2 linked regions of the Sus scrofa genome follow. The protein of the gene in region 1 interacts with the protein of each later gene in a biochemical or structural test. Links are inferred from orthologs where the notes say so. Each region holds a gene or a part of one and is shown in the gene's direction. Other genes may lie near its edges. The genes, in order: RLIM and LHX3.

What was found.
Region 2: the proteins of RLIM (region 1) and LHX3 form a complex in vitro, tested with the Homo sapiens proteins (2 studies listed by BioGRID). The link is inferred for Sus scrofa from reciprocal best matches to the Homo sapiens genes RLIM and LHX3.

The regions. Positions count from the first base shown.
Region 1 is NC_010461.5:59,917,618-59,921,916, reverse strand, and holds the start of RLIM (E3 ubiquitin-protein ligase RLIM), read left to right. Parts: upstream 1-1,452; 5' UTR 1,453-1,804; intron 1,805-3,602; exon of another isoform or gene 3,603-3,666; intron 3,667-4,299. UniProt on the Homo sapiens protein: E3 ubiquitin-protein ligase.
Region 2 is NW_018084833.1:1,473,878-1,478,462, forward strand, and holds the start of LHX3 (LIM/homeobox protein Lhx3), read left to right. Parts: upstream 1-1,764; coding exon 1,765-1,858; intron 1,859-2,646; exon of another isoform or gene 2,647-2,722; coding exon of another isoform or gene 2,723-2,729; intron 2,730-3,982; coding exon 3,983-4,154; intron 4,155-4,585. UniProt on the Homo sapiens protein: Transcription factor.

The DNA.
Region 1 (4,299 bases):
TTACATTAAGACACATTTGCCTTAAGAATATGTCAAGGAGAGGTTAATGCTACTGCCATAATCTGAGTATCAGGTTAGGAGCAATTGCTGGCCACTGAAGAATTCATTTTACACATTCTAGGTAAAAGTTCTATTGTATGATTATAGAACATAAGACAAAAGCTGAGTAGAGACACAGCACCTAAATTATATTCCTCTACTGTTAAAAATGACAATATCAAGACTGTTGAAAAGTTGAGCAGGGAAGTATGAGGGATATTGTTGTTAACTGCTTGGAGTGAAATACACTTATATTCCTGGCTGATGAAATGGCCATCATGCTGAGGCCTGTACGGTCTCAAAAAATATTTGAGGGCTACTATGAGCTCACTGGGGATATAAACAGTGAACAAAACAAAGGGGTTTACTGTTCTTAAATGGTTGAGGTAAACAAATATTTTCAAATATTTATTTCAAAATGCTTTAAAGAAAATTTAGCAGGTAAGGGAAGTTGTAATTTCAGGTGGGGTGGTTAAGGAAGTGTCCCCTAGGGAAATGACAATTGAGAAAAGGCTCGGATGATGAGAGCAAAGATATTAAGGGAAAAATTCCAGCCTATATAAAGTTGTAGAGGTCGGAACAAGTTTAGTTTGCTGGAAGAGTAGTGAGAAAGCCAGTGTAGCTGGAGTGTTACCTGAAAACAAAGAAAACAGAAAAATGGGACAAGAAACATGGAAACACCCTAAAGACCTGGGTACGGTTGTTTTTAACTGTGAAAGCGGGAGTTGGAAGCGGGATAGTTTATTCCCTAGATTCCAATTCAGGCATTAGTATCCAAGAAAAGTCTTTCCTTAACCGCCCTTAAATTCCAACGTTATCAGATTTTCCCACCCTTTTACAATTACCGCCCCCTTTCAAGTATTTCAGAATTACCATCCGAGGCCACCTCTGACCACTCTTTTTAAAACCGCAAATTCCTGTTTGTCGTGACACTCTCCCACCACTGTCCCTCGCTTTTTCTCCTTAGCATTTATACATATGTAACATATACATATATAGTAACTATTGTCCCTTCCCCAAGTAGACCCACGAAAACTGGGATTTTGGCCTGCTTTAATTTCCGCTGTATCCCAACATCTCTAACAGTGCTTGACACAGTTTACGCTCGATAAATATATGTCGAATAAAAGTAGGACGCTGTATTAACAGGCCCGGACTAATTCTGTGAATCGACGTCAGGTTAGACTAACACCACATTTCTCACTCTCGGAAAAGGGCTTCCAGCAATCAGATGGTGACGTCCTCCAGCTTTCAAAATGGGAAAGCAAAGGTTCCCACAATTCTCAGAACGTGAATTTCTCGCCACAATTCAAAATGGCGGAGGAGGGTGTGGCTTGTCACATGGTGGGCGTCACAGCAGCTTTCCTTTTCCAGGCGGTGGCCCGCCTTGCCGCGTCGTCAGCGGTCCCTCTCCTCCTCCCACCGAGCCTTTTCGAGGAATCGCCGGGGATTGGCTAACAGGCTGGGAGTGGGGCTGCGGGGCTAGACGCGGCATCATCACTTCCTGTTGTGGGCGGGCGTTTCCTGTCGCTGCTTGGTAACAATGGGGAAGATAATGGCTGCCTGAGCAACGTCTGCGAGCAGGCGCTGGGTTAGAGGCGGGTCTCAACCAGCGACTCATCGGAGGCGGGCTTGAGAGCGGCGGCAGGGGAGGCGCCCAGGAGCCCCGGCGGCGGCGGCGGCGGGGCGGCGGGGCGGCGGCGGCGGCGGCGGCGGCGGCGGCGGCGGCCGAACCGACCGAGTCGGATCACGACACTAAAATCGAGTAAGTGAGTCCTCCGAGAAATGGATGGAGAGCGAGAAGACAGCGGAGCTGTGACTGCCGCGTTCTCTCAAAATGGTCTGAGTGGCGCATCGTGGCGGAGGGTCAGCGCCGCCTGCGGACCCCAGGCGCCGGTTGCAGTGGGGGGCTCCGTGGCGTAGTCGCCGCTGCCATTTTAGTTGGGTGTATAGTCAACCGGCTCTTTGAAGAAGGGGAAGGAGATGGGTAGTACTTCCTCTCCGTGGCCTCGCGAGCCTCAGCCTGAGCCCTTCAGAACCTTAAGAATTTGGGGGAGGCGATTTTCGAGTGTTGGCCTTAGGCGTGAAAATCTTTGATCGTCTCAGGTTTTTCTCTCTTCGGTCCTCTGGAGACTTACCTCGCCTCTTTCCCCCCCTCCCTTTTACATGGCGGGCTTGGATTTAGGAAATGGGGGCAAAAAATCAGCCTGCTCTAAGTTAGATGTGAGAGCTCTTGGGCCTTTAGATTTCTCAGGATTTGCAAAACCCCATTTTGAGCCCTTCTGTAGGGCACTATCAATTAGACGCCCCCTGGGGCCGTGATGCCATCTTCCCTGAGGATCTGAAGCAAATGTGGTTTACTCCTTTGCTCAAATAACCCTGGCGTATCCTTTGCCAGATATCACTGCAAGCATTCCCCCCAAAAGGGAGGGAAAAGCCGTTGCGTGTTTGTTGTTTTTCCCTGAGTGAGTGTGGGAATTGGGCCAAATGATTTTGAAGTTAATTTCCTTTCGATCCGCCAACAACTCAACCCCTCCCCCCCCCAAAAAAAAGAGGCCTAAGGGTCTCGGCTTCTGCGGGCGGTACCTGCCACGTACGCCATAGCTTTAGTAACTAGTATTAACCGGTTGGGCTTCTGCTTCCTGAATGCTCAGTCCCTTTTTCCCTTATGCTGATTAATTTCAAGATGGAGGAGACAGCCACGTTCCTTCCCTAGACAGTTTCACCATACTTATTCCACAGGTTAGTCCGAGAATCTGAGGCCTAGCAGGCTTCTTATTTAGGTCATTCTTTCGTTTTGGGGCAAGAGGAAGCATTTATATCACATTGTGATCCATTATTTGCAAGGCCCCATAGTAATTTTTTGCTGGATATAAGGAGCCCGCATTTCCTGAATCAGAATTAACCGCAGTGGCTTTGGATGATTGAAGGGAGGAAGAAATAAACGTACTACTACAAATCATTTCTTTGATTCTTTGTGATTAAAGAACACTCATATCACCCCATCAGGTACATTATGTCCGTCCTGGATGACTTGAGAGCAGGCAGGCACAGTTAACGCTCTCCAAAAATCAGTTTTCTAAGTTGTAAAAATAAAGTGCCCAGGAAGACTAATCTAAAATTTTTTTAAAATTTCATTTAGTATACTCTTTTACTGAAAAAAATGCTTCATTCTTTAGCCTAAGATGTCCGGATAATCTTTCATACTTTAGTTTCTACCTTAGGCTAGTGTAGTGTGCCAAATAAGTTCTTGAAAGTAACCATGAGTATCCGAAAATAATTACTGTTATGATAAGGAAAAGCCTATTTTAATCAAGTTTATATCAAATGTAGATTGGCTCTCAACCTTTAAAGGAAGTCTTATATCTAACATATCCCTCTGACCTCAGTCTCCCCAAATATCCTAATATTGATGTTGAATTAGGTTGGGTTATGGTATGTGTATGTATGTATGTGTGTGTATCTAAAAATATATAGAATATGTATTTTTTAGGATGTGTCTGTTTCAAAGAAAATGTCTATCTTATCAAAGAGGAAGAATAATGGATTCTTTTTTTTTCTAGAGCAGAGAGTGAAGAAAACTAAAATCCAGTTTATTGTATTACAATACTATGTCATAACAGTCAGGTAATTTATTTTTTGTTGCGTCTCCTGATAATTTATGTGTAGAATGCATGTTTAAAAATAATTTATTCTGTTTTGCAGGCCCTGTAATTGGATGGGCTTATTTGATACATGTTAGTTGGTGTTGGGCATTCTTCATAATCAGAATGAGTGTTTTTCACTGGGTATTCAAAGAGTAGTGTTCCTGAGTAGCTGAAACTCACTAGTGCTCTATCTGAATTTTCATCTTTTAAAATAATGTGTGAGGTTTACCAATACCTGTATAGAAGAGAAAGAACGAGATAGAAACTTACTGCCTTAAATCAGTGTTGGAATGGGATGTGTACAAATAAATAGTGTTTGAATGTTTATTGAATAATTAAATGAACCATCAGACTATATTACAAGAATATAATCTCATATTTTGTGTGGTATTCGATTTTTTTCCTTTGAGATACCCAAAGTCATAATTGATATATAGTACTTTAATTAGTATTAACTCCTTTCATCATCATTAAGGTAACTGCATAATTTATTGCCCTAACTAGGATGTTTTTAAGAGCAAAAGGGACATTATTAATAATTATGCCTGGACAACAGTTGCAAACCTGGATTTTTCCAGGCAACCTGGTATGAGTAGTTAGCCTAGACTCATAA
Region 2 (4,585 bases), on another chromosome or scaffold:
GGCAGAGGGCCTGGAGCTCCATGCGATGTTTTGGGAAGCCTGAACCCTCGCTTGAGGGCCCGTGGCTTTCTGTTTCCGTGCCCTGAGAACAGAAGGCACCGTGAAGGGGGCGGGTAGAGAAAGAGCCGCCTAAATCCAGAGACCCCACGCCTCTCAGCTCCCACACACAGCCCAGGCCTCCTTCCGCAACCCTAATGCCAGCTCAGAGATGCAGCACAGAGGCCCCTGGGTCGAGTCTCCTGCCTAAACCGCCCTCCCCAGGGGCCATTCCATCGATGGCAAAGACGTTGGGAGATAATGGAGGCATTGTTGGCGGGCCGGCCAGATGCCCAGCGCATGGGCCCGCCCGCCCCTGCTCCAGTCAGACCACACATGGCTCGTCCCAGGCAGGCCTCTGCAGCAGCTGACACTCAACGGCCGCCGACGGCCCAGCATACCCAGCACCCTCTCAGCTCCCTGGCTCAGACCCTCTCGCCCTGTCCTTCTGGGGAGCAAGCTTAGGGCAAAGCGAGGGGGCAGGCACATGCTCCTGCTCAAACTGAGCCGCAGGGTGGCTCAGAGCAAAGAGGAGCTGTGCTTTTCCTGCCGAGATCCTTCCAGGCCGGCCTGCAAGTTCGTGTACAGACCAGGCGACTGGAGGCCAGGAGGGGGCAGGGTGATGCTGGGGCATCACTGGACTCCAGGCGGAGCTTCCCGTCGGGGCGGGGGGGGGGGGTGGCACCAACCTCTGGTCCCCAACACTTCCTGAGGTCCCTTGCCCTCACCACGCCCTGCGCTGCCAGGGTCCACACTGCCGTGTCCTGACGGTGGGTGGCTGCGGGGGGCTGGCCTGGCCTGGGCCTGCCCTCTGGGGTAGGCGAGCATCTCACATGATGAGGACGGTGGGTCCTGCAAGCTCACCTGTTTGGACTGGGGGCAGGGTGTGGGAGAATCGGGCACTGAGCCTTCCTCCTGTGCTGCGGTGGAGGGGAGTCAGAGTGGCTCCTGGCTTTCCCAGCTTCGTCCCTCCTGACCTGGAGTCCATCTTGGCCGCATCCCGGAGGAGTCGGAGCGAAGGACGCTGGGTTTCCCCTCCGGAGACTCACCCTCCCTCCCTGCGCCCACTCTGGGCTGTAGTTTCCAGGGGGAGGCCCAGAAGCTGCTCAGAGCTGGCAGGTCCCAGCTCGGGTCTGGCTCCTGGTGGCTTCGCTGAGTCCTAGGGCGGCACACTCACCCTCTTTGGGTCGGGGTGCGCTCGGGCGGCTCGACATTGTGACCAAGCCTCCCAGCTCCGGCTCGCTCTCGAGTCCGAGCCTCAGTGGCGGTAGGACCCGGCTCCCTCCCCTCCGTCCCCGCCCCGCTTGGGCCCCCAGCCTACCCGGGCGAGCCCGGGCCCAGGCCGCAGCCCAACGCCGGCGCCGGGGCTGGAACTTGCACGGCCCGGGGAAGCGCCCTCGGGCAGCCCCGGCCCGGCTCCTCCCCTGCGGCTCCGGGCCCTCGGGGCCGCGCCAGAGCCCCGCGGTCCTCCGCGCCGAGGCGCGCAAAGCCAGCGGACGCCCCCGACGCGTCCCCGCGACCCCGGCCCCGCCCCGCGCCTCGGCCCCGCCCCCGGCCGCTCCGCCTCCGCGCGGCCCGTGGCTCCGGGCCCCTGGGCGGCCGGCGGGCGCAGCGCCCAGCAGCGCCGGGAGACGTTGGCACGCCGGCCCGGGGCCATCGAAGCCGTGGTCGCACCGGGCCCCCGGCAAGTCCAGGGACCGAGAGCCGCGGCGCCAGGCGGCGGGACCCATGGAAGCGCGCGGGGAGCTGGGCCCCAGCCGGGAGTCGGCGGGCGGCGACCTGCTGCTGGCGCTGCTGGCGCGGAGGGAGGACCTGCGCCGAGGTGGGTGCCCGGCCGAGCGGCTGCGCCTGGGAGGGCGGACCCCGAGGAGACCTGGAGGTCCTCGCTCCTCTCCCGGCCTGGCCACGGAAGCTGCGGGAGCCGGGGATCGCGGGCCGGACCGGGTGTCAGGGCCCTAGCACAGCTCGTCCCTGCCTGAGCCCCTGGAGCTGTGCTGTCGGGCGTTTGGTCGTGGCGCTGGTGCTGCTCGGGCCAGGGAGCGCTCTGGGTCCCAGGACCGATTTCGGACACCCTCTCCCTGATGGGGAGAGTGTGCAGAGAGCAAACGTGGGTCCCAGTGACCACGGGGAGGAAGGTCCCCACGAAGGCTGCTGGTGCCCAGACCGTTCACCCTTTCCAGGGGAAGAGAGTCAGATGAAAGGGCCAGCGTGGAGCTGCGTCCTGGCCGTGGAGGGTCCCCAGCTGGGGTTTCGGGGTCCGCACGCACAGGCACCTGCTGTGTTGGCCCACTCAGGGCAGTCCTCCTACAGGCAAGCCCTCAGCTTGCGGGTGGCAGCAGCCTCGCTCCCACCGCCTTGGCGCTCTCGAACTGGGGCGGTTCGCTGCAGGCTTCCAAGCAGGCGGGACCCACAGGACTGGGAAGGAGGTGGCCCGGGGGTGGGAGCAGGGGGCGGGGGCAGGTGGGAAAGGGGTTGCATCCAGGCTGAGGGGTCTCATCCTGCTCCTGCTTATTTATTTATTTTCCGACGGTTCCTGGGAGGGGCGGCCACAGGAGCTGGGAGGAAAAGGTGGGAGGGCCGAGAGAGAGGGAGGGAGGGGCGCGGGCTCGGAGCGCCACGGCGCGCAAGGTTCTGTTGGGCCCCGCCAGCGCTGACGGTAGGAGACCCCGCCAAGGCTGGAGTCGCCATGCAGCGTAAGACCCGGGCCGCCGGCGCTTCGCGAGAGCGCGAGGGGCGCGGCGGGAGCGGCTTTTGCCGGCCGCGGGCTCCAGGGGTAGCACGGTCGGGGCGCTGTCCGGGCCGCGGTGCTGAATCTGCGCCGCGCCGGCCTGTCCAGCCACCAGCCGGTGCCGGGGGTCCTCGCCGTCCTGCCATCGCCAGCCCGGATGGGGGGCCAGGGTGGGCAGCATATTCCCCAGGCTCTGCTCCCAGGGCCGCGGTTTTGTCCGACGCGGGACCCTGTCCTTCGCGGGTTTCCTGGGCTGTGGGAGGGAGATTGATCCACTTTCTCTCAGCCTGGAGCAGAGGTCGAGCCCTCTCTGGCCCTTCCACCCCCTGCCGGGCCGGCCTAGGGCTGGAGGGGTGTCCCGCAGCGAGGTAGCGAGGTGAGCTCGCGTGATGTTTGAGTGGTTCCAATTCCTGCTCATGGCTCTCTCCTCTCCGGAGACCTTTTCCAAATTAACGGGGAGTCCTCACCCCATGGACACCCTGAAAGCCGCTCATGAGCCTGTGGCTCCGGAAGGCAACCCCTGCCTTTCCCCAGCCTGGTTTCCCTGGCGGCCCGTAGTCCCCGGGAGCAGAATTAGCAGGAACCCAAGTGTCTCTGTGTTGGGGTGGGGGGCAAACCACCTACTGTGTGCTCGTGAGTCCAGTCCACTCAAGTGCCAGCAGGGCCTCCCAAAGACGGGACGCCAGTTTTTACTTTGGTGGCCTGCAGACAGGACCCCGGGGCTGAGCAGCCACACCTGCAAGGTGTCTCTAGGTACCACGACGCCTAATTGTGCAGGTAGTGAGGGCGCTTGGATGGTGAATGCCCCGTGACCCCCACATGCCTGGCCTCTGGGGATGCTGAGGGCCCGACGTCCAGCCCAGCCTCTGAGAGAGCCCTCGGGTCGGGGTTTTTGCTTGAGCTCAGCGTGCCCCTCTGTGCCCTGGAAACATTTTACAGTTGATGAGCTCAGGCCTGTGGGGTGGCCTGGGCACCTTCCTGCCCAGGGGCCTGTTTCTAAACCTAGTTCATCTGTCCTGAATTTTAGCTGTGGGCCAGGCTGAGGACTTCCACGCCCCGCACTCGCACTCCCTGAACCTGAGCTCAAGCCGGCCGGGGACGAGGGTGTGCAGGGAAGGCAGTCCCCTCCGCGGCCCTGGTCCTGGGGGCGGGGGTGGGATGGTGCCTTCGAGGCCCCCCGATCTGTGCCCACGACCACGGGGGCTCCTCTGCCTGCAGAGATCCCACTGTGTGCCGGCTGCGACCAGCACATCCTGGACCGCTTCATCCTCAAGGCTCTGGACCGCCACTGGCACAGCAAGTGCCTCAAGTGCAGTGACTGCCACACGCCGCTGGCCGAGCGCTGCTTCAGCCGCGGAGAGAGCCTCTACTGCAAGGACGACTTCTTCAAGTGAGACTGGCTGCCGCTGGGCGGAGGGGTTGCTACGGTCTGCCCCGGGGAAGGGGGCCACCCCGAGGACCCCCCTGGACCCCCACGATAACCAAGGCCGGAGCCCTGAAAGCGCCTCTCTCCAGACCCCTTCCTGCTCCCCAGGCTGGGTGTCCTGGGGCTTCTCGGTTGGCGGCTGGGCTGGCACATTAGCAATTTTTCAAAGTAATGAATTTTACGAATTGTTGAAGCGGTTGTTCAAAAGAGGCCCCCAAGTTTGTAGAACTCTGCTGGGCTCACTCTCTCTTCATTTTGGGCTTGTTTTTGTCCTTAAATGATGGGGATGGGGCATCCACCGGACACAGACCTCGGAATCCAAAGGACCTGCCGCCCGCCGGCCCTGCCCCTTCCAATGCCCCTTCCTGATCCAGCGCCGAGGCCGGCCGTGCTCC